Linked DNA regions of Notamacropus eugenii. The protein of the gene in region 1 purifies or fractionates together with the protein of each later gene. This does not show direct contact. Links are inferred from orthologs where the notes say so. Each region holds a gene or a part of one and is shown in the gene's direction. Other genes may lie near its edges.

Region 1 (14,957 bases):
ATTCCAGAGAATAACAAGGAGAGATAAGAAGGTTTTTTTAAAAGAGCAATTTAAAGAAATAGAAGAAAATAAAAGAATGGGAAAAACAAGAGCTCTCTTCAAGACATTAGAGATATCAAAAGAATGTTTCATACAAAAATGGACATGAAAAAGAGAAAAATAGCGGGGACTTAACAGAAATAGAACAAATTAAGAAGAGGTGACAAGAATACATAGAACTATACAAGAAAGACCTTAACATCATTGATAACCACAATAGTGTGGTTACTGATCTAGAGTCAGACATCCTGGAGAATGAAGTCCCATGGTCCTTAGGAAGCATTGCTAAGAATGCTAGTGGAAGTGCTGAAAATCCAGCTGGGCTATTCAAAATCCCAAAAAGATGATACTGTCAAAGTGTTGCACTCAATATGTCAGCAAATTTGGAAAACAACAGTTGTCACTGAATTGGAAAAGATCAGTTTACATCTCAATCCTAAAGAAGGGCCAATACCAAAGAATGTTTAAATTACTGAACAATTTCATTTATTTCACATCAGTAAGGTTATGTTTTTTAAGATTCTGCAAGCTAGGCTTTAGCAATATGTGAACAGAAAATTACCAGAAAAGCAGGCTGGTTTTTGAAGAGGCAGAGGAACTAGAGACAAAATTGCCAACATTTGCTGGATTCTGGAGAAAGGAAGTCCCAGAGGAAAAAAAATCTACTTCTTCTGTGTGGATCACAACAAAACATGGCAAATCTTCAAAGAGATGGAAGTATCAGATCTTTATAATTGTCTCCTGAAGAACCTGTATGCAGGTCAAGAAACAACATTTAGAACCAAATATACAACAACTGATTGTTTTAAGATTGGAAAAGGAATACAACAAGGCTGTATACTGTCACCTCATTTATTTAACTTATATGCAGAGTACATCATTCAAAATGGCAGGCTGGACGAATCAAAAGGCAGAATTAAGGTTGTTGGGAGAAATACCAACAATCTCAAATATGCAGATCATACCACTTTGATGGCAAAAAGTGAAGAATTAAGAAGCTTCTTAATAAAAGAGGAGAGTGTAAAAGGTGGCTTGCAGCTTAACGTAAAAAACCCCTGAAGATCTTGGTAAACAGTTCCATCACTTCCTGGCAAACAGAAGGAAAAGGAATGGAAGCAGTGTCAGATTTTACATTCTTGGGTTCAAAGATCACAGAAGATGGTGAATGCAGCCATGAAATTAATTGTTCCTTGAAAGGAATTCTAAGGCAAATATGGACAGCTTACCTAAAAGCAGAGATATCTCATTGCTGACAAAGGTCCATAGAGTCAAAGCAATGGTTTTTCCAGTAGCAATGCATGGCTGTGGGACTTGACTATAAAGAAAGCTAAGCATCTCAGAATTGACACTTTCAAATGGTGGTGCTGGAGAAAGAATTTTGAAAGTTCCTTGGACAGGAAGGAGATCAAATCAGCCATACTTAAAGAAATTAATTCAGACTATTCACTGGAAGATGAAATACTGAAACTGAAGCTTAAATATTTTGACCACTTAATGAGAAGGTGAGACTCACTAGGAAAGTGATATTGGGAAAGGCAAAAGGAAAAGGGGAAGGCAGAGGATGAGAGGGATAGATAGTGTCATGGAAACAAAGAATACGCACTTGGACAGATCTCAAGAAGTACTGGAAGATAGAAAGGCCTGGCCTGGTGTGCTGGTGCATGGGACCATGGACATGACTGAACCACTCAACAGCAGCAACAGCAACATAAGGGACAGAAAACAAGGAAAGGGGGGCATTATTGGTAAGCCTCTTTCATACTGAGTAGTCTATTGGCTAAAAGTGTCTAAAAGGGTCAAGAAACTAACTCACTGGAGAGTTTCAGATATAATATACTTGTTGCTGGGCTTGCCTTTTCTCTGTCCACTCATGAGATAAACAGCAATCAAAATTAGAGAAACTGTTACTACTAGCATCTGAGTAGTGGAGAAAACTCAAAAAAAGGAGTCAAAAGGAGTAAAGGAACAAGACCTTCTCTCTCCTCCTCATCATCAACATTGGTGTCTTTCAGCAAAAGGACAGACACATAGAAGACACATTCAGGTTTATCATGTGTTTCTGAACACTTAAAAGTGTAATGCCTGTTTTGAAATTTTGAGATTGCTTCAGGGAAATTTCTTCTACTGGAAACAGTGAGAATGCAGAAAACTATGCACCATTTTATGATAACCCAGAAGCTACAAATCTTCCAATACCCATTTCCACAAGCAAACTTTAGATCTTTCTCAAGGTAAAGGGCTATATTTGTCATATATTTTCTGGTTCAGTAAAAACTGTGAGAGGAGATGAGTAGTTCTTCACCACTCCCATCCACTTTTTCCATAACTCCAAAGCCCCAAGGCTGGGAATTTCAGTGGGGATCTTCTGTATCCCCAATAAATATAGCATACTTCAGGGCTGCTAGCACAGGTTCACTCTTGATTTGGTCAGACAGGCAGACACCTTCAAAGGGGTTAATAATCTTACTTTATTCTAGTCCAGTGTTCCAGTGTTCCCACAAGTGTTGCTGGCAATGGGACCACTAACTCCTATAGTACTCCCTAATCACCCTTCTCACAGAGACTGGAGAGAAGGGGAGGCAACTCCCCCTACATTTTGATGGGGTCAGTTGAGACAGGCACAACTTGTGCACTGCCCTAAATCCCCTCAAGCCTTGATGCAAGCAAGTGAAGGCACACAAAGCATTCCAGCCTGTGCATTCAACCCTAAAGGTTCCCCCTTCACTCTCTCTAGCAGAGGTCTCTTCTCTCTCAAGCCTTGATGGGGGTAGGTCAAGGCACACACAGCATTCAACCCTAAAGGTTCCCCCTATGAGAGGTCTCCTCTCCCCTCCTCCCTCTATGAGATTATTTCCTCTTTCAACTAACATTTGTTCAGGGGAAAGGTCATCACCCTGAAAGTGGAGAAAATATATCACCAAACCGAGAGAGCCCCAACATCTGAGTTTTGGTCAGCTGAGCGGCCCTTTGATAACAGTTACCCAGAGCCCTATTTTGGAAATCAAAAAGGTCTCAGGCAAAGCATGCTTCCCATGAGCAAGCCCCAAGGCAAGAAATCAATTTTCCAGAATATATACTGATAGGCTCAGAGCCAGAAGACACCAAAGTCTATGTCACCCAGCACCAGACGTGTTACAGCTGTGAACTGGACCAGAGTTCAAAGAAGTAAGGCATCCATGATCTATCCTTCAGATATTTACAATTTAGCATTAGCCTGGGAAACTGAGATTGTTATGGCCATGGATCCCGGGAAACTGAACTATAAGGACAAAAGTCTTCTTTATACTATACCTGCTTAGCTTGTTTATGCAGACTGGAGCAGGCACCAATGTTGCAGGTGCAGTTATAATTTACTGCAATATTTATGTATTTTTTAACTATTTAAAATGTATAAAACTGTCCTGCCATTTATTAGGTTCCTATTTTTTTATATGTCATGATGAAGTTTTTGAACATTGCGTTATTAACTCCATTTTTTTATAAGCTCTGTAGTATTTATTGGATAATTTTGTACAGAACAGAGGTGCTTTTGGGGAATTAATATGTCCTTTTATAGCAGAACTGCTTGTATGCAACCTGGGAAGTCCAGCTGCAAAGCACGGCTGAGTTGGCAAGAGTGTGATACTGCTGCATAGGAGATGGCAGGCCTCATCTGAAACTGAGGCAGTTGATTAATGAAGACACTTGCTGATGCCAGGGTAAGTATACTATCTCTTTGCAGAAAAAGGCATGCCACTACCCTAGGTCAAGATTTCAGTGAAGATAGAAGTTGAAAGGTGATAGTGAAAATAGCCATGTAGAGAAGTCATATCCAGTAGAGAGGAACGTGAGGGTCTCAGCTGACACAAACTCACTTGCAAAAAAACCCCACAATATTCACAATTGCAAAGTGGAAAGATTTATTAAAAGATTAGAAACCAAAACCAGAGACCCTTGTGTGATAGGATGGTTGATCAGGAGACACGTCTAATTGAATCCCCTAATACACTAGGTGAAATTAAGGGTGTCAGACTTTAAATGGCCCATTTGTTGTTTGCCCATCCCTCATTGTGCCACCTGTTTTTGTATAGCCTAGGTTTTTGCATTTTTAAATCACTGAAACAAAATCAAAGGAAAAATAATATTTCATGGCACATGAAAATTTTTTATAAAATTCAAATTTCAGTGTCCAAGTTACTTACTGTCTATGGCAAAATGACAGAATTGAGTAGTTGTGATAGCAACTATGTATGGGCTGTCATTGCTTTGAAACACTCACTGTTCAATGCACTACTAATAGTAGTGATGGACAAAATGTAAATAATGCAGATTAAATTTAAAAGTATATTATGGCTACATTCTTCTCCAATCCCCTTCTTCCCCCCCTGCCCCAAGCTGGTTGTTAAACATTTACTATCACATCCCTGTATTAATTGTGCCAAATTCTAAGCCCAAAGCCCCCGGCTTCTTAGGGCTTCCTTATTGGACTGACAGTAACATCTGGCCTGGTAATCTGGTTCTAAGGTTACCATGGCTTGAGCTTCTGGGTCCAGAATTCTGCCGCCTGTACCCAAAACTGAAAAAGATAATTGAAACGGACCAGAATTTCAAGCCAATTTCTTAGGGCCACAGGGCTAAAGGGGAAGGTGCTCCTTCCCCACTTAGTGAGTGAACAAGACCTTTACAAGTAATCTATGGCAATATGCTTCCTTTGGGACTCTGCTCTTCTGTGATTTGTAGCCATATAGCAAGCAGCATGGGGAAAATAATGAAGTCTAAGAGGTCTTTTTACATTCGCGGGCAGTTGTGGTGTGGCAAAGTTAAATGAAATTTAATGATTTGCAGTAAAGTCTAAACCATATAAAAACTTCAGAGGTGAAGTAGGGTCAAGTACTTTCATGTTTCTGGGCCTAAGTTTCCCTACTGATAAAATGAATGATTTAAAAATTTCCTTCCAACTCTAAATTTACTATCCTAAGATCTGAGATTTCCCACTACATTGGGGTTCACATCATCTAGGGTTCACATCATACAGGATTTCACCATGGCATGTTTATTTTTTAAAAGACCTTATTTTCATAATTAATCTAATTAATTAGTTCCTTTGTACTTCTGTTTACTTCACCTATAAAAGGAAAGCTTTTGACCATCAAAGGTGGGGAGCCTGCAACTTCTAAGCCACACGTGACCCTCAAAGTGCTATCCTTTCACTGAATCTAAACTTCACAGAACAAATTCCCTTAACACAAGGATTTGTTCTGTAAAACTTGGACTCAGTCAAAAGGCTGCACCAAAGGATCTAGAAAGCCACATGTGTCCTTGAGGCTGCAGGTTCCCCACCCCTGGACTAGATCATGCCAAAAGACTCTTCCCATGATAACATTCCAGAGTAATTTTGTTAGTAAATTTTTATTAAACAAGTACTGTGTTCCAGACACTTTGTTAAGTGGTGGGGGAATACAAAGAAATCAAAAGACAGTCTCTGCTCTCAAAGAGCTCACAGTCTAATTGGAGAGAGAAGCTACCAATTATATACAAATGAGAGATATTATAAAGGTTGAAATGAGAGGACTTGGCAACTGACTGAATATGAGGGATGAGAGAGAAAAGGGGTAGATGATGACATCTGAGTGACTGGGAAGACAGTGGTATCCTCAATAGCAATAGGAAAATTAGGAAGAAGGCAGGATTTAAGGGAAAAGCTGTTAACGGTTTGAGGCAGAATCAAAACTCATGCCTTTCTGATTTCAGTTCCAGTCCTCTGTCCTTTACCTGGCTGGCTCTCTCTTAACTCTGTCCCCCACCCCCACCCCTATCCAATCTGTTGCCAAGTCCTGTTGATTACAGGAGGTGACGCCTCTCATTTAAGCCCTTCTCTCCTTCGACTCTCCTGCAGGCCCTCATCCCCTTACCCCTAGACAATAGTCTGCTGTTGGCTCCCTGCCTCAAGTCGCCCTCCACTCTAGTCAATCCTGCGCTCAGCTGTGAAAGCAATTTTCCTAAAGCAGATTTCTAACTACATCACCCAGCTATTCAGGAAATGCCCAGCGGCCTCCTAGCACCTCTGGGACCAAATGTAAAATCCTGACATCTTTCAACTTTAAACAGTAGTCCATCCCACTCCTGGGAACTTTCATCCTTCTCTTGGGTCTCCCAGTTTCCCTGGCTTCTTTTCCTTCAAGAACCAAAGTGCCCCTTAGGCGGGAAGTCTTTCCCAGTCCTCCTTTATCTTGATACCTTCCCTCCGACACCCTCCAACATCCTCCATTTGCCCGGTTTATACAGGTTTGGCGTGCTGTCTCCCCTTACACTGTAAGCCTCCTGACAGGAAGGGTCATTTGTTTTAGGATTTCTTTGTACCCCTAGTGCTTAGCCCAGTGCTTGGCACACAGTGGGTACTTCATAAATGGCAGCTGCTTGACTGACCCTAGACAACTCACTGTTTAAACCTCTTTATTGCCAAAATGAAGACAATAGTAAGGATGTGATGAGGCTCAAATCAGATACTTTACAAATTTTAAAGCGCTCACAAACGTTAGCTCTCAGTTAGTAAACAAAACCCATCAAGAAGCTAAGATAATTTCGAATTCAGGCCGGCTCCAAAAGGCTGCAAGGCAAGCTGGGAGTTTCAAGTTTCTAGAAGGCGGAGCCTGGAAGGGTGGGCGGGGCTGAAGGGCTGCACACGCGCACCGCTGGGGCTTCTGTCAACAAAGACCGAAGCGCCCGTGCGCAACGCAGCCTGAGAACGTGAGGAACGTGCGCGTGCCCGCCTCACAGCGGAGCCTATGAACGGAAAGAGAGGGGACAGGACGTGCGCGTGACCGCCCTACAGCCCGAGACTGTGGCCGAGAGGGCGGGGCGGGACAGGGCCCGAGTCCCGACACCTAGACCGGCTGGGGAGGGGCCCTGAGAAAGGGAGGTGACGCTCCTGACCTAGGCAAGGGGCGGGGCGGGGCGTAGGGGTAGCGCGAGCTCGGAGGACTCGCTCTCCCTCTAGCCGTCCTTGCTGTCCTTCCCTTCTCCTCTTCCTCCTGCCGCCGGCACCAGCACCGCCGCCGCTCGGTCGCCGGCAGCGGGTTATGGCGGCGGCGGCAGCGGGGGCCGTGAATGAATTCTCCGGGCGGCAGAGGGAAGAAGAAAGGCTCCAGCAGCGCCGCGCCCGCTGGGCCCCCGCCCCCCTGCGCGGGCCCCGCCCCTCCCGCGGCCGCCGGCCCGTCCCCGCATAAGCGGAACCTGTGCTACTTCTCGTACCCGCTGCTGGCCACCTTCGCGCTGCTCCGCTTCGTCGCCTTCCACCTGGGGCTCCTCTTCGTGTGGCTCTGCCAGCGCTTCTCCCGCGCCCTCATGGCCGCCAAGAGGAGCACCCGGGCGGCGGCCACGGTGGCCACCGGGCCGGGGGCGGCGGCGGCCTCGGCCCCGGCTCCTCCGCCCGTGCCGGCAGGCGGGGAGGCCGAGCGGGTCCGCGCCTTCCACAAGCAGGCCTTCGAGTACATCTCCTTCGCCCTGCGCATAGACGAGGACGAGAAAGGTAACGGAGGGGAGGTGGGAGGGGGGTTCCCCAGCCCACTCTCCGTGGCTGCTCCGTGGGGCGCACTCTGCCGCCTCCTTAAGCATCCGGGGGCCCCTGGGGAACCTGAGAGCGCCCCTGTCACCAGCCGCGCCGCCCCCCCCCCCCCCCCCCCCCCCGCCTGACAGCTTCTGCCGGCCCGGAGCGATGGCCGCGCCGTCTGCCCTGCGGTGACCACGCCGAGGCGGCGTCTGGCCGGGCCGACCTTTACTGGCCTCCAGGCCCGGCCGGGTTTCCGAAAGAGTCTGCTGCCTGAAAAGGAGCTTGTCGACCACGATGGGTGATGGGGTGATTGTGTCTAGTTTTAAATAAGAGTAGATATAGGGAAGAAGAAAATGGAACGGGGGTCCTACGACGGAAATCGGGTTTTTATTATTGCATTCGTATTCGCTTAACAAAAGCTAAGTTTCCCGGCCTTTAAAAGAGCAACTGTAAAATGACAGGTGCGACTTTTGACACTTGTATACGGGTACATTTGTCGATTTTCGTAGCGTAACTTTTACTCCCGACTTTATTTACTTCATTTTACCTAACTCTCCCCAAGGAAACTTGGGAAATATTTGAATGGCTTGCATATACTAGTATGTAAATTGTGGGAAAAGCCTAAACGAACTGATAGCTTACTGTTTGCCTTCCCAACGGAGAAGGACTAGAAGGAGAGAGAGCATCAGTCACGCGTAATTTTTAAAAAATGAATGTTGAGTAAATATTTAGGAAAAAGCCTAAACCAAAACCTAACAGGGATCACCTTAATGTAAAAGGTAAGTTTTAATTAGAAACAATAGAAATTGTTTTTGAAATTACAGGATCTCTTATAATGGTTTTCATTGTGTTTTGTTTGCCCATTTCACCCCCAATTTTACTTGCTTTCTAGATTACTAAGCAAAGAGTAGACTACAGTTTTTCTCAGCGACTTTCTGTCACTGCGTTACTGTTCACTTTTCAAAGGGGAGTGGGGGGAAATGTGAAGACCAAAAACACTGTGATTCGCAATTAGTCAATCAAAAAGCATTTTTTAAGCACTTGCCCTGTATTGTGGTATTGTGCAAGTTGCTGGAGACCCAAGAAGAGTCTTGGCTTTCAAAGAACTTACCTTAAATTGGGATATGATATGTAAATATAAAACAATATAAGTTAACTTTGGGGAGATAAACAGCTCACAGGTGGGGAGAGCAGGGAAAATTTGATGGGTCTAGCTGTTGAACTGGGTTTTGAATGAAACAAGGGCCCTCAGAGGTGAGGCTAACGGATGCATAGGGGATGACAGCATGTGAAAAGAAAGGGGGAGAGAAAGGAGATGGGATGTCTTATGTGAGGAACTACTGTGGCAGCCACGTTAGTGGCATTTCTGCTGTACTTGAGGGGAGTAATACAGTATCTCTTTCCATAAGAGTAATGAACTTCTTTGATGAGTGTATATATATATATATATATATATCCCTTTTTAATTCTTTGCTAAATATAGATAATCAGAATATTGATGAACACAAGTTAGTTTTGTGGTTGTATAGTTTAAAGAATCTTGTAATATCTTAGTGGAGAACACTTTTTTGGAGGTGAATCTTCAAGCCGATTTTATTCCATTAAGCTTATTTTATAATCAACCTGTGAATGAGTAGCAGCTTCCCTCTTCTCCCCTGCCTTCCTTTTCCCCTTCCTACCTGGCGTGCTCTGCCCAGGGCAGGGTACATTTTGATGCCCAAAAGCTGGCTTTTTCCCTTTGGGTTTACTGCCTAGATTTCTTTCTCAAAGATAGATTGGATTATAGGTCCTCACCCTTCCTAGCACTGAGTGTGAGTAAATACTAAGTAGTAGCTGTTTCTGTTTTGGCCAGGAATCTGGAAGGTCTTCCCCTCCCAGTTTGATTTTTTTTTTTATTCAAGAGGTGATCCCTGTATATCTGCCTAAAGAGACCTAATTCACTGAATGGGTATTATCTCATTCAAAGTGAGAACCTGAAAAGACTTTTGTCTGAAAGGGCCAAGGTCTCCTATTGCATCCTGGGTCATGTTGTGTCATCCTAATGAATATCTGGCCATTGGACCCTGGTGGCTCTGGAGGAGAAAGTGAAGCTGGTGACCTTGCACAGCCCTCCCTCTCTTAAAGTCAACTGCAAGTCATGTCATCATCTCCCTGATGTCATGGTCCTCTTTGAGAAGGAAAGGACAAACACAACAACTGCATACTAAAGTTGAAAATCACTTCGAGCCTCCTGGTGAAAGGCTTTAATTGTCAAAGAGAGAACTTTGTATTTAATCCTAGAAGTAATTAGGATCAGGTAATCTATGGGTAGAGGGAGCACAAGAGTGACAGTCAGATCTGGGAGAAGAAGCTTCTATCACCAAAGAGTTGGATATTCCAATTTCTCTATACTTTTATTATATCTTGGGATAGCAAAGGAGGAATCTTAAAAAAGAAAAAAAACCCACAATAGTCTGTCACTTTTTTCATAGCTCTGTGAAGTAAGCATTATTCCCCTTTTACAGATATGAAACCTGAAGTGAAGTGCAAACAAGTGAAGCAACCTGCCCCAGGAGAGGGGCAGTTGACTTTAAGAAAGGGAGGAGAGGAGTCAGGACTTGAACCCTGATCTCCTGACTTGGTTCAGGCCTCTTTCCATTATATCACACTGACAGACACTGCTCTATTGTAATGAGGCATCTATCACTTACAAAGAGTTACTCTAAGCCACAAGGTGTCTAAAAATAAATGTTTCTTCTCTGAGAATAAGGACTTGGAAACAGGAGTTTGTCAACTACTGTAATTTGGGAGGGAAAGGGAAGAAGACAGGAAAGGAATGCCAAGTAGCATTATTTAACGCTGAAATTGATTCGGGACCAAGTGAAAAAAGAATCTAGTTATACTAATAGCTCACCTTTGCATAGGATTTCATGGTGAAGTACTTTCTCACAATAGCTCTTTGAAGTGTAACTAATCCAAGTAGTACTATCTTAAATATTATAGATGAGGAAATAGTGTTAGGTGAAGTGGTTTACCCACAGTCATGCAGCTGGTTAAGTGTTGGACCTAGTATTTAATCTTGGCCTTTTGATTCCCAAACCCATTCCTCTTCTCACTGTAGCACGATGTCTAAATAAAAATAATGAATAACTTATACTTCATTATTATCTCACTGGTGTGAATACTCCACCACCCTTCCCCACCCTCCCCCTGTGGTATTAAATGAAACTTCTTTGTACATCTCATCTTGTATGATTCTTTTGCGTAAAGGATTTCTGCCCAAATGTTAAGGTCTTTCCTAGGGCTTTTAGTATCTTAAAATTAATTTTAATTCATGAAATACCATAATACTTTTTTAAAGTCCTATCAGAATTCTTTAAAAAAAATAAGTGAATGAAAATGAATGACTTTCTAAATCATTGTCTTGCTATGTAACTGATCCGTTTTTTTCCTTATCTTATATTTCTTTCTCTTTTTTTTGATTGGTAGTACATGATAATGTAATTATATCCAAGCTTGTTTTCTCTCTACACTTACAGGCAACTAGTGGCACAGTGGATAGAGTACTGGTCTTGGAATCAGAAAGACTTGAGTTCAGATACAGCTTCACACTTTCAAGCTGTGTGACCCTGGATATGTCACCTAACCTCTCTTTCCCTTAGTTTAGCTGTAAAATCGGGCAATAATAGCACATATCTTGTGGGGTTATTGTGAGGATAAAATGAGAAAACATTTGTAAAAAAGTGCTTAGCATAACTCCAAGCATTTTGTAGACTTTTATATAAATGCTTATTCCCTTGCTTTCTCACTTAATCTTACCCTGAATAGTTTTACTAGTGACTAATCACATCTCTTACCGTCACTCTTTGGATTACTTACAGTATTCTAATGAAATTGTTATATTCCATCGATTAGTTGTGGGATGTAGTAAAAAGAATGCTGTATTTGGAGTCCAGAAGACTTTTTTTTCTGGGTAGATTATTAAACCAGTATTTCTTTACTGGTAGTGATTCTCTTGTTCCATCTGGCCTTCCAGGGTTTTCTGCAGTCAAGTACAATATTATCTGCAAAGAGAAGTACCTGGGTAACCTCCTCGTCTATAGAGAATTTCTTGCAGGATCTTTCCATAAGTGTAGTAAATTTTTTTGATGAGTATATGTCCCTCTTTTGTGGTGTTCGTCCTTGTGTTGTGTTGGCTCCTACAGAGCCATCTGAATCCAATGACCTGATATTCCTCAGAATGACTGGAGATGACCCAGGATGCAGTGGGAGACCTTGGTCAGATGCTCATTTAGGGAGAGATAATTAGCTGTGTGTGTTCTTCTTCATTGCTGAAGAAGACCATGCCATCAGAGAAATAATGACATGACTTGCGCTTGACTTTGTTTTGAGTGAGGGAGGGCTGTGCAGGTCACCTGCCTCACTTCTCCTCCAGAGCCATCTGAATCCAGTGACCACATATTCATCAGGATGACTGGAGATGACCCAGGATGAGGCAATTGGGGTTAAGTGACTTGCCCAAGGTCACATACCTAGTGAGTGTCAAGTGTCTGAGGTGAGGTTTGAACTGAGGTCTTCCTGACTCCTGCACTGGTGCTCTATTCACTGCACCACCTAGCTGCCTGGGTGAGGTAATGCCCCTTCATTGAATAGGCCTCTTTAAGAAGTAGTCAGGGCATGGCTCCTTTAATGAGGCAAGGAAAAGAAAGACTTCAGGCTGGGAGGCAAACAGCAACAGTTACTATTGATAATCACTCTGAAGCCAGGAGGGTCCAGAAGAGAGCTTTTGGGCAGGGGGCTGGGGCCTCATGTTGTCTGAGCTTCAGAGTACAATAGGCTCAAGGAAGGGAAGGGAAGGGAGAGAAAGGGAGACTAGCCAGTAAAACCCAAGTCACCTGGGCATCTTTTGGCCGTTCAAATTTACCTTCCTTTGGAGAGGAGATGAGGGGAGGGGGAGACAGACAGGAGACAAGGAGCTGAGTCTATTCACAGGGTTGTGTTTGTCCTTTCTTGCTGAAGAAGACCATGCCATCAGAGAAATGATGACATGACTTGCACTTTGTTTTGAGTGAGGGAGGTCTGTGCAAGGTCACCAGCTTCACTTCTCCTCCAGAGCCATAATGTCCCTCTTTAATTCTTTGCTGAATAGATAATCAGAATATTGATGAACACAAGTTAATTCTGTGGTTGTATAGTTCCAGGAACCTTGTACTGTCTTATGTGGAAAATACCTTTTTGGAGGTGAATCTTTAAGCCTGTTTTATTTCATTAAGCCTATTTTATAATCAACCAATTGAAAACACAGACTCATATTTTATATACTTCCCATTCAATTGCGTGACTGAGAAGATGTAGTCTGCTGTAAGGAAGCATCTACTAATACCTCCTTGTTTCCTTCTTAAATTTTTGTTAATTCCCTTAATATGTTTGAGGATCATTTTCATAAAGGTTTTATAAGGAAGAAAAAGTAGACAAATGGAGTAGTTGTTACTAATATTTTTGGCCACTTTTTTGGCGGGTGATCTTTGCCCTTCTTTGAATAGTACCTTGTTTGAGAGCTTGAAAATCTATGAAGGCAACAAGCATTTATTAAGCATTTATTTTTTGTGAGGTACTGTGCTCAGTGCTGGGGATAGATATGCAGGCAATCCTGCTGCATTGCAATCTAGGAGTTTTCCAAAAGCACCTTAACATGTAAAAAAAATCTCACAGAGCTATAGGGGAAATGGGGTTAGAGGCACAGTGCTCAAAAACTTCATTGGTGATACATTAAAAAAAAAAAAGATAGAAACCTAATTTTTAAAATTAAGAAATCCATACTACAGTAAATAATGTCTGTGTCCATGACTTGAGGCTGCTGCTCTAGGCTGTGCAAGCAAATTGAGTAGTCACCACTGCAATTACAGGCCTTGGGCCCAAGGCCATGGTAGAAAGGTATGTGCCAGACCTTCTCCACTCAGAGCTGCTACTGCACAAGAACATATATACTATGTGATTGTACTTTATCTTGACAAAGACCTAAACTTCACTTGTGGAAGTAGGCATTGGAAGGGTTGCAGCTTTTGAATTATTGTGAAGTGGTGCTGTTTTCTGCATTTTTGTTGTTTCTAGTGGAAGAAATCATGTAGAAGCAAACTTGAAATCCTTGTCATGCTCAAAATATTTCCTAAAATATCAATTACATTGGAACACATTTCTCGTTTTGGTAACACAGGTTATAGTAGAATTGACTGTATAAGCAAAAAGACAGTTTCTACTCTAAAGAGCTTACATTCTAAAGGGAGCTGAAAGTAGAGGTGGGAGAGAGGGCAAGGTGAAAAAGTAATCAAAGAGTCACACAGAGCTAGGAGAGGAATAAAGGATGACTGGCCTCAACCTTTCCTCAAAATAGAGATTCTAAGAGCAACTTTTTTTATATATAATTAATTTATTTTTAGTTTTCAGCATTCACTTGCATAAGATTTTGAATTTTAAATTGTCTGCCCCACCCTCTCCCCAAGACAGTGTGCAGTCTGATATAGGCTCTACATACATTCATATTAAACATATTTTCACATTGGTCATGATATAAAGAGAAATTAGAACTAATCAGAGGAACCACAAGAAAGAAGAAACAGAACAAGAGAAGAGGAGCAAAGAGTATGCTTTCATCTGCATTCAGACTCCATAGTTCTTTCTCTGGATGTGAATAGCATTTTCCATCATGAGTCTTTTGGAGTTGTCTTAGATCCTTGCATTGCTGAGAAGCACTAAGTCTTTCAAAGTTAGTCACTGAACAGTGTGGCTGTTACTGTGTACAATGTTCTTCTGGTTCTGCTCATTTCACTTGGCATCAGTTCATGTAAGTCTTTCCAGGTTTTTCTGAAGTCCACCTGCTGATCATTTCTTATAGCACAGTAGTATTCCATTATATTCATATACCACAACTTGTTCGGCCATTCCCCAATTAATGGACATACCCTCAATTTTCAATTCTTGGCCACCACAAAAAGAGCTGTCATAAATATTTTTGTACATGTGGGTTCTTTTCCCATCTCTTTGGGAGGTCTACAGACCTAGAAGCAGTATTATTGCTGGGTCAAAGAGTAAGTATAATTTTATAGCCCTTTGGGCATAGTTCCAAATTGCTCTCCAGAATGGTTGGATCAGTTCACAACTCGACCAGCAATGCATTAGTGTTACAGTTTTCCCACATCCCCTCCAATATTTATCATTTTCTTGTTTTGTCATGTTTGCCAATCTGATAGGTGTGATGTGGTCCTCAGGCTTGTTTAGATTTGCGTTGCTCTAACTAATAGTGATTTAGAGCATTTTTTTCATATGACTATAGAAAACTTTAATTTATTCCATCCAAAAACTGCCTGTTCATATCCTTTGACCATTTATCAATTGGAGAATGACTTGTATTCTT
Region 2 (15,296 bases), on another chromosome or scaffold:
TCAATTTTTTAAATTAAGCACAAACAAATATAATTCACAAACTAAAGCTAGTATTTATTTTAGAAATTATTAGCAACGTTTATTTATATTGTAGGACAAAAATATTTTTGGTTATGCATAAGTGACTAAATTTAGACAAAAGAGGTAAGATGATGACAATACTGCAGAATCTTTGCTACCAGATTATAGTACACTTCAATTGACAAGAAAAAGAAAGTAGTTGAATCATTTTTGCAATATAGATTCACTTCAAATAATGATGATGGTGTGGAAAAATCTCTTTGCTTAATTTACAATGAAGTTTTGGCGTGGAGAGCATAAAACCAGTCAAATAAAACGACATCTTAATACCAAGCATGTTGTAATAAATCAAAGGAATATTTTGAACAACTTTTAAAATCTTCAAATAAAGAAAAACAAGGTTTTGAAAAAGTTGTTATTGTCAATGAAAAGTATTTACTCGCAGCTTATGAAATTTCTTATTTAATTGCAAAAACTAAAGAGCCCTACACAGTAGGAAAAGATCTTCTGTTACCTGCTGCTATTAAATGTCAGAAATAGTTCAGGGGAAAAAGTATGAGGATGAAATTCATAAAATTCCTTTTTTGAATGATACCATTTCCAAAAGAGTTTCTGAAATTAGTCATGACCAATTCCAGCAGCTTATTACCAGGCTTAAGGGCAGCCCAAAGTTTGCAGTTCAGTTAGATGAAATAACTGATTTTTCTAACATAGAACAGTTGTTACTTTATGTAAGATATGTTCATGAAGGAAGCATACATGGGGAATTATTGTTTTTTTGCCTTCTGGAAGGGCACACAAAAGGGAAAGATAGGGCGGAGCCAAGATGGTGGAGTAAAAGCAACGACTTGCTAGAGCTCCCCCTACAACTCAGCCAAATACTTGTAAAAAAAAATGACTCTAAACAAATTCTGGAACTTCAGAACCCATAGAATGACCAAGTAAAGTAAATCTCCAGGCCAAGACAGCCTGGAAGGTCAACAGGAAGTGTCTTTTGTGCTGGACCAGGAGCAGAGCACAGTCCAGCATGGGCCCTGCTGGCACAGATAGGACCTGAGCAGGTGTGAGGGGGGAGTGGAACAGAATCTATGGCATCTGTGACAGTTTCCAGACTTCATGACCCCAAAACAATGAGGACAAATTGGAAGGTCAGTAAAAATCTGTGGGACATGTGTGAGAGAGTAGAGTGGTCCAGTCCCAGCCGCAGGGCAGCAGAGGGGGCTGAGGAGCTCAGGAGCAGCCACAGCAGCAGCAGGGGCAGCAGCAGTGACTGCTTCTGGAGCTCTAGGCCCACAAATTGTGGGAGGATGGAGTGGCCGACAGTATACCCCACACCCCCACTGGAAGTAGAGAACTACCTTGACAAAGACCTTACAAGTCAAGTAATTGGCTGGGGAAATGAACAAAAATAGGAAAAAAATCATATTATAGAATCTTATTTTGGTGACAAAGAATATCAAAACGTACAACCAGAAGGAGACAATAAAGTCAAAATTCCTACATCCAAAGCCTCCAAGAAAAATATGAATTTTCCTCAGGACATGGAAGAGCTCAAAAGAATTTTGAAAATCAAGTAAGAAAAGTACAGGAAAAAATGGGGAGAGAAATGAGAGTGAAAATCATAAAAACCAAGTCAACTGCTTGCTAAAGGGGACTCAAAAAATGCTGAAGAAAATAAAAATTAGACTAACCCAAATGGCAAAAGAGATCCAAAAAGCCAATGAGGAGAAGAATGCCTTAAAAAGCAGAATTGGCCAAATGGAAAAGGAGGTCCAAAAGCTCACTGAAAAAAATAATTCCTTGAAAATTAGAATAGAATAGATGAAAGGTAATGACTTTATGAAAATCAAGAAATTCTTAAATAAAACCAAAAGAATGAAAAAAAAGCATACAATGTGAAATATCTCATTGGAAAAACAACTGATCTGGAAAATAGATCCAGGAGAGAAAATTTAAAAACTATGGTTCTACCTGAAAGCAGTCATCAAAAAAAGAAACTAGACATCATCTTTCAAGAAATTATCAAGGAAAACTGCCCTGATATTCTAGAACCAGAGGGTAAAATGGATATGGAAAGGAGCCACTGATCATCTCCTGAAAGAGATCCCAAAAGGAAAACTCCTAGGAATATTGTAGCCAAATTCCAGAGCTCCCATATCAAGGAGAAAATATTGCAAGCAGCCAGAAAGAAACAATTCAAATATTGTGGAAACACAATCAGGATAACACAAGATTTAGCAGCTTCTACATTAAGGGATCAGAGGGCCTGGAGTATGATATTCCAGAGGTCAAAGGAGGTAGGATTAAAACCAAAAATCACCTACCCAGCAAAAGTGAGTATAATATGGATGTCCAGTTTTCCCAGCAGTTTTTGTCAAACAGTGAGTTCTTACCCCAGAAGCTGGGGTCCTTGGGTTTATCAAACAGTTGATTGCTATATTTATTGACTACTATGTCTTGAGTACCTAACCTATTCCACTGGTTTACCCCTCTATTAAGAAAAGGCTTTTTCAATGGAGGGGAAGAGGCAGAAGGTGAGAGGGAAAGAGTGAACTTTCTTACTGGATTTGGCTTAAAGAGGGAATAACATGCACACTCAATTTGGTATGAAAATCTATCTTACACTACAGGAAAGTAAGGGGAAGGGGACAAAAAGGGTTGGGGGGTATGATAGAAGGGAGGGAAAATAGGAGGAGGGGATATTTAGAAGTAAACATTTTTGAGGAGGGACAGGGTCAAAAGAAAGAACAGAATAAATAGAAGGCAGGATAGGATGGAGGGAAATATAGTTAGTCCTACACAGCATGACTATTATGGAAGTCTTTTGCATAACTACACATGTACAGCCTATATGGAATTGCTTGCCTTCTAGGTGGGGAAGGGTAGGGAGGGAGGAAGGAAGAGAAGTTGGAACTCAGAGTTTTTAAAATGAATGTTAAAAATTGCATGCGACTAGAAAATAAGACATACAGCAATAGGGTATAGAATCTACTTTGCCCTACAAGAAAATATAGGGGAAGGGGATAAAAGGAGGAATGCGATAGAATGGAGAACAGATTAGGGGGAAGGGGTAATTAGAATGCATGGTGTTTTGGGTGGGGGAGGGGAGAGATGAGGAGAAAATTTGGAACTCAAAATCTTGTGAAGTGAATGTTGAAAACTAAAAATTAATTCATTAAAAGGAGGGAAGATATATATATATGTACATATATAAAAATTGAGTTTTTCACAAGTGAAGGTTTATAGTGGAAAAATTGCATTGGAGTCTGTACAGATGGTGCTGGAGCAATAATGGGCAAGAATGTTGTATTTGTAGCAAAAGTTAAAGCTGATGGAAATGAACATATCCTTTTTACTTACTGTATCATCCACTGGAAGGCACTCATAGCCAAAGAAATATCACCAGAGTTAGATGCTGTGCTTTACAATGCTATCAAAATCATTAACTTCATTAAAAGCCATGACCTTAACAGTTGTTTTCAAACCTTTGGAAAGACATGGACTCTGATTGCAAAAGCTTATTACTACATGCGGAGGTAAGGTGGCTCTCAAGAGAGAGAAATTTAAACAGATTGTTGAAACTGAAAGATAAAGTTGTTATATCTTTGATTGAGCAGAAATCCAATTTTGTTAACTTTTTTCATAATGACTTATGGCTTTCAACACTGTGTTATTTATCAGATATTTTCAAAAAAACTCAATGATCAAATATGTCGCTTCAAGGAAAGAATTGTAACATATTTATGTTAAAAGATAAAATTGAAAGTTTTATTTAAAAAAATTAATATATGGAAGAATAGGGTAGAAAATGGTTTTTTACAAATGTTACAGCTACAGATGATTTTATAATTGAAAATAACCTTCCCAAAGATTTAATTGTAGGAGTTATAATTGATCATCTGAAGTGCCAGGAAACACAGTTTCAGAAATACTTATCTTCAAATTTCGATTCTAAAAAACTAAGTTGGGTTTATAAACCATATTCAATTGAAATCACAAACATCAATCATTAAAAGTTCAAGAATTTACTGAGTTATCAAATGATACAGGTTTAAAACTTGAGTTTCCTAAAAAAACTGCTAAATGAATTTTGTCTTGGGATTAGGACAGACTTTTCAACAATGTCTGAAATGTCCCTAAACATATTTCTGCCATTTTCTACTATGTATTTATGTGAAGTGGCATCTCCACATTGTCGATCATACAATCAAAATATCACTCAACTCTGGAAAATGTTGAAGATGCTCTATGTACTGCAGCATCAAATATTCCTCCAATATTTAATTCTTTATGTAAAAATCAACAAGCACATCCATTTCATTAGTATGAAAATTTGTTTTTATCTCTAATAAATGATAAAATTATATATGCCAAAGAATTGTTTTAAAATAAATTTCTTTATGATTTACTATCAGTAAATTTTGATTTGTATAACTATTTTATATACTGACATACCTAGGATCACATAAAAATTTCTCAGGCAAAAAGGGGTCACTAGCAGAAAAAGTTTAAGAAGCCCTGGGGTAGAGGACTGAGGGCAAGAAGCAGTATAAAATGTAACCAACCTGACTGTGAGAGAAAAGGGCCAAAGTCAACCATTTGTAATGTTGTCTATGACCTTATTTGAATGAGGAAAGTGACCAAGGAACTAGTATATGCTTGGAGGGAATATCCAATGCACTAAGGGCCTTCCTCTAGGTCTTTTTATGTATAGAATGAAGAAGTATTTTTTATTAAGCACTTCCTATGTGCCAAGCACTATGCTAAACACTGGGGATTCAAATGAATAAACAAAGCAGTCCCTGCTCTCAAGGATTTCACAATTTTCCCTAAATAGGGAAAGTAAATGAGTTTTCAGTTGTAGGGCAGATGGAAAGGTGCCAAGGTATTTAAGGTGTAGCAACAGGGCAGATGACAAAGCCTAGAAACCCATAAGGTGAATTGGCAGGTCAGACTGGCAATGCCTAGGGTAAGACTGATGGTAAGGCCCCATCTTAACTGAAAGGATGGTAGCAGGTAACTCCCTACTTATCCAAGCAGTGTGAGCTTTATATGTCCCCAACCAACAACTGGTGGGAAAGGGTAGAGTAGGCCTAAGGATTAAATAGACCTTTAATTACCTCAGGAAGGGTATGGGAATGGCAGTAGAGTTAATAGGGCACCACCATCCTTCCAGTCACCCAAGTTCTCAACTTTAGTATCATCCTTACTTTTACTGACGTCAAATTTACAATTAGTTGTCAGATCTAATTTCAATTATTACAACTTTTTTTCAGATATATCCTCTTCCTTTCAATCACACAGCTATCACTTTCATTCAGACTTTCATCATTTCTTAGCTGGATTATAGCAATAGTTTAGTTTCCTAGTTCAAAATCTGCTTCAAGTATTTCCCCTGTTAAATCCATAATCCATCCTCCACACAGCTGCCAAAAGTGATTTTCCTTAAAGCTCAAGTCTGACTATATCACCCTTCACCCCTGCCTCTATAAACTTTAGCAGTTCTTTATTCTCTCTAGGACCAAATATAACCTCCAAATATACCTGGAATTTAAAGTTTTTCACAATCTGGTCTTTTTCTACCTTTCTAGGCTTTTTATACATTATTCCCCTTGATGCATTTTATGATTTAGCCAATTGAGTTACTTGCTATTTTTTCATATCACAATTCATCTCTTTATCTCAGTGCCTTTGCAATGACTGTTCCCCAAACCAGGAAATACTTTTCCTTCTTACCTCTACTGCTTAGGATCCCTGGCTTCCTTCAAGATTAGTCTCAAACACCACTGAAATGGATTACAATTTATCTGTTCCTTCTTATCCTATGTTACTTATCCATGTCTCTACATAAATCTCCTATAGAGGATCTACCCAACACATCAGAAATAGGCCAAGAATTCTTAACCTGGGGTCCTTTCTGGAATCAAGCAATATACATAGTGGTTGTATGTTCTCTAAACATCTCAGTCAATTGTATGGCTTAAAAGATGAAGTCTCTGATAGAAAATCTTACAGGAACACTACTGAGGTCTTTCGATACTAAATCCATTGTTCCATCCAGTAACAGCTCAGTTGGGCTCTTTATTTCGGCTACAATAGCCCTGTCACTCACATTCTCATGGTGTGTTAAACAAAACTATAATTACTTTACATTCAGTACATGATTGCATTTGATAATTTAGATAAAAAGCTTTCATAGAGACATCAGAATTGGAACTACAGAGTTGTAAATACACTCAGACTATCTAATCCAACCTGTACCTGAAACAGAATCCCTTCTCATTTTCAACATACACTCAACCAGCTTTTGCTTGGAGACCTCCAGGGAGAGGGAATCTCCTAGAGGTAGCCCTTTCTACTTTTACATAGCTCTAATTGTTGGGAGAATTTTTCTTATATCAAATCTAAATTTGCCTGTCTTGCATCTTCTACCCATTACTGCAAGTCTGCCCTTCAGAGCCAAGGAGAACAAATTTAAACTCTCTCCCTCATGATGGCCCTTCAAATACTTGAAGACTGCTTATCATGGTCCCTCTGTCTTTTCCTCTCTAGGTTAACCCTCTCCACAGTTTTTTCACTTATTCTGGCTGCTTTCCTCTGGATACTCTCCATCTTATCAATGTCCACTCTAAAATGTGGCACCCAGAACTAAATACAATACTTCAAATGTAGTCTGACCAGCGTAGAGTACAGTGAGACTGTGTGTTTGTTCATTGCCAAAGAAGACCATGCCATCAGAGAAATGATGACGTGACTTGTACTTGACTTTGCTTTGAGTGAGGGAGAGCTGTGCAGGTCACCAGCCTTACTTCTTCTCCAGAGTCATCTGAATCCAGTGACCAGATATTCATCAGGATGACTGGAGATGACCCAGGATGAGGCAATTGGGGTTAAGTGACTTGCCCAAGGTCACACAGCTAGTGAGTGTCAAGTGTCTGAGGTGAGATTTGAACTCAGGTCCTCCTGACTCCTGCAGTGGTGCTCTATCTACTGCACCACTTATCTGTATTACTTTCCTAATTCTGGATCCCATGGCACAGTATGAAACTTGAGACTGCATCTGCTTTCTTGGCAGCCACATCATTATTGACTCTTACTGAGCCTGCAGAATACAAAACCTCCCATATCTCTTGCAGATGGACTGATGCCTAATTATACCCCTCCTGTCTTTTACTTGTGAAACTGATTTTTTTTTAAAAGATCAAGTGTTTTTACATTTATCGTATTAAATTCCATTTATTAGTTTTAATTCAGTGTTCTAAACTGTCAAGATCACTCTGATTGCTGACTATTGATCTTGTTAGCTATCTTTCTAACTTTCTGCCATCTGCAGATTATACAATAAACATGCCATCTACCTCTTTATCCAACTCAGTGATAAAAATGTTAAAAGGCATAGGACTAAGCACTTTCCAAGCTGACACTGAACTATCAATAACTCCTTTTTTGGTCCAACAATTAAACCAGTTCCTAATCCACTTACCTTATATAATTACCTCATCCTTCTACCTTGTCCGGAAGATTAGCATAAGAATCTTTGTTGTACCATTTTGCAGAAATCTAGATAAAGTATATTCACAGCGTTCCTCTGATCTAGCAATCTGTTTCATTAATGTAGACTGAATGATGAATCCAAACTGGCTTTTTGTGATCTCTGCTTTCTTTTCTATGTCAACTACCACATTTTTGGAACTGTTTCACAGGAGTTGAAGTCACTTAGGCAGCTAGGTGGTGAAATAAATGGATAGAGCGCTGTACCTGGAATGTTTAACTCCCCGCTCAGGGGCTTACTTACTAGCTGTGTCCCCCTGGGCAAGTCAATTAATCTTTGCCTGCCTCAGTTTCCTCAGCTGTAAAATGGAAAGAGTAATGGTGCCTACCTCCGAGGGTTGTTGTTAGGATGGAGATGATATCTGCCAAGTCTTTTGTAAACCTTAAAGCCCTACGCTAGGTATAAAGTCAAGGGTGCTACTTTCTTGGCAAAGATTCCATCCTTTTCCTTTCCTTTTTGTCCTCCAGTCCTGCAGTGCTTGTTTCTAGCCTGCAAAGGCTGTGGACTGCCTCAGCAGGCACCCCCCCAGTCTTTTCAGTGCCCTGATGTGGTTCCTCTGGTTGTGATGCCCTAAGGGAGTGAGGGCAGTTTAGTCTTGACATCTCCTCACTCAGCGTGGGACACAAGACTGGATCTCTTCTGCTCCTTACAGGATGCCTGGAAGGCAGTCTGACCGCGAAGCTTAGAGGAGCAGGCGGGGAGGGCCCTGAAGGCCTCCTACCGGAGCTGTGCTTCTCTGGCAGGTAACACAACGCCGCAGAAGGGTGAGTTCATGAAATGAACCGCGGGGGAGCTTTTCCTCCAGTTTTGTTTGTTTGTTTATTTATGCAGGTGAACAGCAAAGTCTCATAGCACGGAAAAAACAAAAAATTAGAAAGACGTCATTTGGGGATTTGCTTTAAGTGGGTATTTAGGAAACACCCAATCACTCCAGGATTTTAACAACGATCGTGTCCTAATTAAAATGTACGTGAAACGTTACAATGACAGCTTGGGGGAAGGGGAGGGGACGGGGAGGGGACGGGGAGCGCTTCCTTAGCTTCACAAAGTTGACGACAGGCAACGAGGAATCTGCTAGAAAGCTGAAGGGGAGAGCAGCGGAGAACCAACCGAAGGGCAGCCCCAGGACCTTCAGCTACACAGTCTTCCATCCCAAACCCTCAGGGCTTCCGGCATCCCACCCCCTCCCAGAAATCGAAAGCCTTTCGGAGCCTACCGAAGAAGTTTGTCTTTCCTCGCTCGCCGTCTCCCGGTGCTTTCTCTTAGCCAATCAGGATGCCGGGCAGGTGGTCAAAGCAGACCGGAAGAGGCGGGCCCAGGGTCTTTTCTCGGCCGCCGTCTCCCGGTGTCTTCTTCTAGCCAATCAGGATGCCGGGAAGGTGGGCAAAGCAGGCCGGAAGAGGCGGGCGCAGGGATTGCGCGCGCGGTAGAGTTGCGGCCTCTCAGTCATGGAGGAGATCTTTGCCAAGTTCGTGTCCCAGAAGATCAGCAAGACCCGGTGGCGGCCGGTGCCGCTCGGGAGTCTGCAGCCTGCCGAGACCTTCGCCACCGGCTCTTGGGACAACGAGGTATCCGCCTCTTCCTTGTCTCGTGGCTGCCAGGTTCCCGCAAATCGCGCGCTCCCCTTTCCCATCCTGCCGCATCTTCTTGGGCTTTCTTGGCCTTCTCCCCCACGCACGCGGAGCAACCCACGAGCTTCGCGCTCGTTCTGAAAGGACTCCCCCCGCCCCCCGACTCGGGTCATAGACGTCGGAGCCAGGAGGGATGTTAGGTACCATCCATTCCAATGCCGCCCTCTTTAACTGAGGCTCAGAGAGGTTAGGCTTCCTGCCCAGGTCACACAGTAGGAGGTTGAAACCCAGCTTCCCCGATTTAATTGCTTTTTTCCTATCTATAATATTTACTAGCAGTGTAATTAATGTAATAATATAAATCCCGAGGGGGTCATTTTTCCTCTCGGGAACTAGCCAGCTCCGCTGGCCCCTCAGGGTTCTTCCTCCAGATAACAGATTGTCTGAGTGTTACCAGGAGGATTCGGAGACCCAAATAATTCGGGCAAAGTCACGCAGGCAGAGAAGCATTAGAAGACACCTGTTACCCCTAGAAGTCAACACGCATTTATTAAGTACTCACTGTGTGCCAGATTTCTGTACTAAGTACTAGGAATATTTTTTCTTAAAGCTTCAGTCTCTTCCCTCTGAGATTTCTTACGATTTGTCTTGCTTTTAAAAAGTGGTCTGCCTACCATCATCCTCGTTAGAATGTTAGCTTCTTGTGGCCAAGGACTGAGGCTTTTTTTTTCTTTTTTAAACATCATTTCCCAATTGACTGGCTCCCCTTAGTTTCCAGTTTTTGGCTACCTTGGAAATACCGGCTATAAATATTTTTGTACGTAAGACTCATAGTGCTATCCCTGTGTAAAAAGGTATACACAATTTAATAACTCTTTGGGCATTAAATTATATTCTTGAATGGCTGGACCAGTTTATAGCTCCGTCAATGGAGTCTCAGTGTGTTTTAATAACTTTTTTATGCACTTAATCTGTTTCTTATAATTATTTTTCTGCATGCGTGATCTCAAATATAAATCTGGAAAAAGATGCTTAATGGTCTTCTTAAATGAATGATAACCCCCTTATAAATTCCAAAAATTTCATGCCTCCATGATAATAGTTGTCCTCTTAGTATCAGTGACTGAGACAATACATAATAAGCTAGTGGTGCCCATATATAATATTACTGGACCTGTTGAAATAGTTATTGGCCCCATTCCTCCTGTTTCTCCTAACATTCCTACAGACTGGAAACTACTTGAGTGGTTTAAACTGTTACCAAATAATTGATCATCCAAAAGTAAAACATGGAATATTTGAAGTGAACGAAGATTGTCATTTTATAAAATGGACTTAATCTGTCATAACATAAAAATGATACTAATTTACAGGAAAACAGTGTTTCACTCTGGTGTATTGGAGATTTTGGTAATTTGAGCACCGAAGGAGGGTTTGAAGGAGATCATCAGTTATTATGTGACATCAAACATCATGGTGATGTAATGGACTTGCAGGTAACCTAGACATTTTAAGACTTAAAATACTATAGAATATTATTTCTCTAAATATATATTCATATGGCCCAGAGTTAATCTATTGTTCACTCTTCTGAGATTGAGAATAGCTTAAGAAAGCCCAAATTTATATAAATATCCATTTATCATAATTAATATTTTTGTCTGTGCAGTAACTTTTTAAAGTGCTTTCGTTACTTTGCTCTTACTGATAAGGAAAGGCAATGTGTAATAGTTTTGAACTGGAATGAGCAACAGAAGACTTTGGGTTGTCATACCATATAAGATTTTAGCCTCTATAAGCCTTATTCTCCTCTTAAAGTAGTACTTGCCATGCCTACTTTACAGAGTGCTAAGGAAAGCGTTTTATAAACTGTAAAGTACCATGTGGGAAGCGTGAAGGCTCTGTGGATGGAGAGCTGGCTTTAAAGTTGGAAAGACCAGTTTCAAATCTTGTCTCCAAGACAGTGAATTACAAACTAGCAGCAGCTCTGTGTTGCTGATTTGCATGTGTAAAAATTTCCATGCTGAGTTTCCTTCACTGATGACATAGGTTCAGATTTATCCCCCTCTCCTCCCCTCCAAAAACCACTTTAAATAATGAATTATTTATAATTTTGTTAATTTCTTTGAGCTTCAATTTGTTTGTTTTTCAATCATTTAGTCCTGTCTTACTCTTTGTGACCTCATGGACCATACTGTCCATGGGGTTTTCTTGGCAAAGATGCTGAAGTAGTCTGCCATTTTCTTTTCTAGTGGATTAAGGCAAACAGAACTTTAGTGACTTGCCCATGGTCACACTGGTAGTGTTTGAGGATGGATTTCAATTCAGGTCTTCCTTACTCCAAGCCCAGTGCTCTATCCACCGAGCCACATAGCTAGCTACCTAAACTTCAGTTTACCTCTCTATAAATTGGAAATAACATCAGCCTGACCTTTCTCACTGATTTGTGAGAATAAAATGAAATAATATATTTGAAAGTCCATCATAAAAAGTAAAGTGTTATACAAATTATTATTATCTTTTATGTTTAAAATTGTGGTTATGTTTATCATTAAGTAAAATTGTACAATTGTTTACTAATATTTTGAATCTGTAACGAGCAGGATTTTTCTACTGCTTAGTTTTTGGACCAGGAAAGAATTGTAGCTGCTTCATCAACAGGAAGTGTAACAATTTTTCTTCACCATCCAAATAATCAGGTAAATAGCATTTTATACAAAAATTGAATTTTTAAAATTATTCTTAATGTTTATAGGTTAATATGTAAATCCTTCCTTACTGAATAATAAATTATGCTTTGTAATCCTAAAACCTAAAGGGCAAAAAAATTATAAAGTATTCATATTAGTGTAGACTTTTCTCAAAACCTAATATTCTTTGGGCATGGTGGTATATGCCTATGATTCCCACTATCAGGAAAGCTAAGACTGGAAGATTTCTTGAGCTTTAGAGTTCTGAAGTGCATTGGGCTAACCTGATTGGGCATCCAAACCAAATATGGCATTAAATAAATGGGCTACCAAATTGCCCAAAGAAACAAAAGAAATTAAAATTCCCATGCTAACAAAAGTGGTATTGGGCCCATTGTAGTTCCAGCCTGGTTGAGATAGGTAGACCCAGTCTTTTTATTTTTTAAGATAATATTCTTTACCATTAAGTAGTGAAAATTCTATTAATTTAAACTGAATAACCTATCATTTTAGAGTAACTGTAGTCATGTTACTTTGCCTTTATAGTTGTGTCACTTTTTTTCAAAGACAAAAAGAACACTTATTGTCTTACTTGCCATAAGGGATGGAAAGATCTCTTTGGTTCTACTAATGATGCCTAGATTTTTCTTTAAGGGGTAGATGTTGAGACAGTGGCAAACCTTCATAAAAAATGCCCCTTTTTTAAAAAATCTAACCCAAGTTTGTTGACTGACCTTCAGAAAATAATAAAGGACGCTTTGATGAGAAAAACTTATAGTAGCATAGGGTCTTATATAGCTTATGGCTAGAAAAGAAAACCTGTTGAGATTTTTCTTCTTCCCATGCAGGTCATCTTAGTGATTTAATAAAGTCAAGAATGAAACATTTAAAAAATCTAAACTATGACTTTTATTTTCTTAATGACATTGTTGACAGGAAATCATAATTTCTGACAACCTGATTGTCTAAGAAAATTACTTATTTTTGAACGCAGTAATCCTGGATACCTAATAATTACTTTTGAAAGACAAGTGAAGTAAATGAAAGTGTTACATACAATAATTTAAAGCATCTTGGAAGTCCTACTTGCTTGGGAGCTTTTTAGCCGCCTTAATGACAAGAGATATTCCAAGATGAAAAATAAGCTGTTTATCATTAAAAACTTTCCTTTAGAAATTAATCCAATGGATAGAGGTTTGAAAAGTGTTTCCTAGTCACAAAAATTATATTTTCTGTGAAATATCAAGGACAGAGAGAGGTTTTTCTGTGGAGCTGAGAGGAGAAATAGAAACAGAAAAAAAAAAGCATTTTGTGTCTTTGATTACTTTAGGTAATTATTCTAATTTCCTTCAAACCTGGAAGTACTATATCATGGGAAGAAAAATTGCTACAGTTGCTATTTGATAACCTTTGATTTTTTGATATCACCAAATGACTTTAAGGTGTTTTTCTTCACCCTCTCTTATTCCTCACAGACTCTTTCAATCAGCCAGGAATGGGTAGGAGCCCACTACCACATTGGCCCAGGTAGTCCTTCCTATAGGAGTGCACCATGTACTGGTATTGTATGTAACAGTCCAGAGATTGTTACTGTTGGAGAAGATGGCAGAATCAATCTCTTCAGAGTTGATTACAGGGAAGCTGTACGGACTATAGGTAAGAAGACTGATTTGTTCATTTTTTTTGACCAATAAGTATTGGCCACTCATGCTTATGAACCATTGTACCACTCTGCTATGAGAACTACAAAGATATACAAGAAAATCTCTGTCTTTGAAAGACTCAGTTTAGTATGGGAGTTAAAACGTGTAAATAAATATCTACACTAGAAGGTAATATACAGATGATACATACTAAATGAGATGCAAAGGAAGGAAAAAGTGTTTCTGTTTGAGATGATCTAGAAAGACATCGTGAAGAACATTGCTTTGAGCTGGAATTTGAAAAGTGGGTGGATGATGGTGAATGGAAGAGTTTACAGGCAGTGAGAGTAGCTTGAACCAAAGAAATGGAAGTCAGCAAGCACAGTATGTGTTTGGGACATAGTAGCTCAGAATTTGGAGGTGTAGCTTGAAGTAAAACTCGAAGTTAGTTTGAGGCTAGATGTGAATACCAGGCCAAGATTGAATTAGCTAGAGAAAGCTACAGAGTGATGCTTTAGGCAGATTCATTTGGCCAGAATGTTTCAAATTAATTTGAAGGGAAAGAATTGGGGAAAAACAAGAATTTATTGCAGGAGTCCAGAAATGAGATGACTGCCTGAACTATGGTTCAGAAGTACTGAAAGACCAGGAAGAGCTTTGAACCTGGTTGAATTGTCATGATATCAACAGAGATAGAGAAGAAGTAAGGACTGAGCAATGTGCTGCAGTGAGAAAGACCCTTTGATTTGGAGACAAAAGATCTCATTCAGATTCTGGCTCTGTTGCTTGCATGTGTGACCTTGGACAAACCATTTCACTTTTCTTATCCATAGGGAGCAGGTTAAACTCAGTGGTCTTGAAGGTTCCTTCCAGCACTGAATCTGTAATCTTATGATCCTACAAGCTAGTTTGAGAGGATTTGGGGATTATGTGGGTTGTTTTAGATATGTTATATTTGAGATGACAGGTGAGACAGGTGGAGATGGACATTGCAATTGGACCCTGGGAAATCTAAGGACTTAGAGCTACATTTTTGGAGCTGCAGTTATCCCTTCTGCATCATGGGTGTAAGGGTTAAGATGCTCTCTCAATCCAGAAAATCTACATAAAAATTTTTGGCCCTCCCTTCATAACAAAGAAGTCTGAATTTTTTTCTTTTATGGGGTGTTTACAGGACCTTATTGTAAAATGTGAGTTGATGTTATATAATACACATATTTTATGCATTTCTGAGTTTCTAAACTTTTTCTGTTTGTCATCTGGCCTTTGTGTGTCTTCTGCAACTTCTGCATAACTCCCCCAAAATTCCCATTTAATTTCTTATGCTGCCTGGCCCTTGATATATTGAAGCTGATGGGGAAAGTTCGTGATAATTAAAGCTAGTGAAAGTGAACGACATGTCAGATGAGAGCATGTAAAAGAGTATGCAGTGTTGCAATCTATAATACTTTATATTTAAGACTAAATATTCTTTATAAAAGGAGAATTCTCAGCTCAGATTTTAAAATAATTTAATATAATTTATATAACAATTTAAATTTTCTGTTTTTTCTTAATTGTACTACTGATATTCCCTGAGATAAACTTTGCAATTGTCCGGTCTTATCTGTAAATAAAAACCGGAACTGGCTCTATAGGTATAATTAAATTTAATGTATTTCTTTTTTCTTTCAGTGGTCGAATGAGTCAAGGATGTTTTTTACATTTTTTAAATAGTTGTATTGTTTTTTAAAAAGCGTAAAAACCATTCTAAGCTTGCTGGAAATATAAAAACAGGGTGGGCCAGAATCCCATGGGTTGGAGTTTGCTAATCACTAGT

What was found.
Region 2: the proteins of SPAST (region 1) and NUP43 purify together in Homo sapiens (affinity purification with mass spectrometry; 3 studies listed by BioGRID and IntAct, counting the BioPlex papers as one, with this or other methods). This does not show direct contact. The link is inferred for Notamacropus eugenii from reciprocal best matches to the Homo sapiens genes SPAST and NUP43.

The regions. Positions count from the first base shown.
Region 1 is NC_092872.1:534,845,373-534,860,329, forward strand, and holds the start of SPAST (spastin), read left to right. Parts: upstream 1-6,940; 5' UTR 6,941-7,125; coding exon 7,126-7,546; intron 7,547-14,957. UniProt on the Homo sapiens protein: ATP-dependent microtubule severing protein that specifically recognizes and cuts microtubules that are polyglutamylated.
Region 2 is NC_092873.1:241,798,240-241,813,535, reverse strand, and holds the start of NUP43 (nucleoporin Nup43), read left to right. Parts: upstream 1-8,891; 5' UTR 8,892-9,021; coding exon 9,022-9,141; intron 9,142-10,517; coding exon 10,518-10,640; intron 10,641-11,765; coding exon 11,766-11,843; intron 11,844-13,309; coding exon 13,310-13,490; intron 13,491-15,296. UniProt on the Homo sapiens protein: Component of the Nup107-160 subcomplex of the nuclear pore complex (NPC). The Nup107-160 subcomplex is required for the assembly of a functional NPC.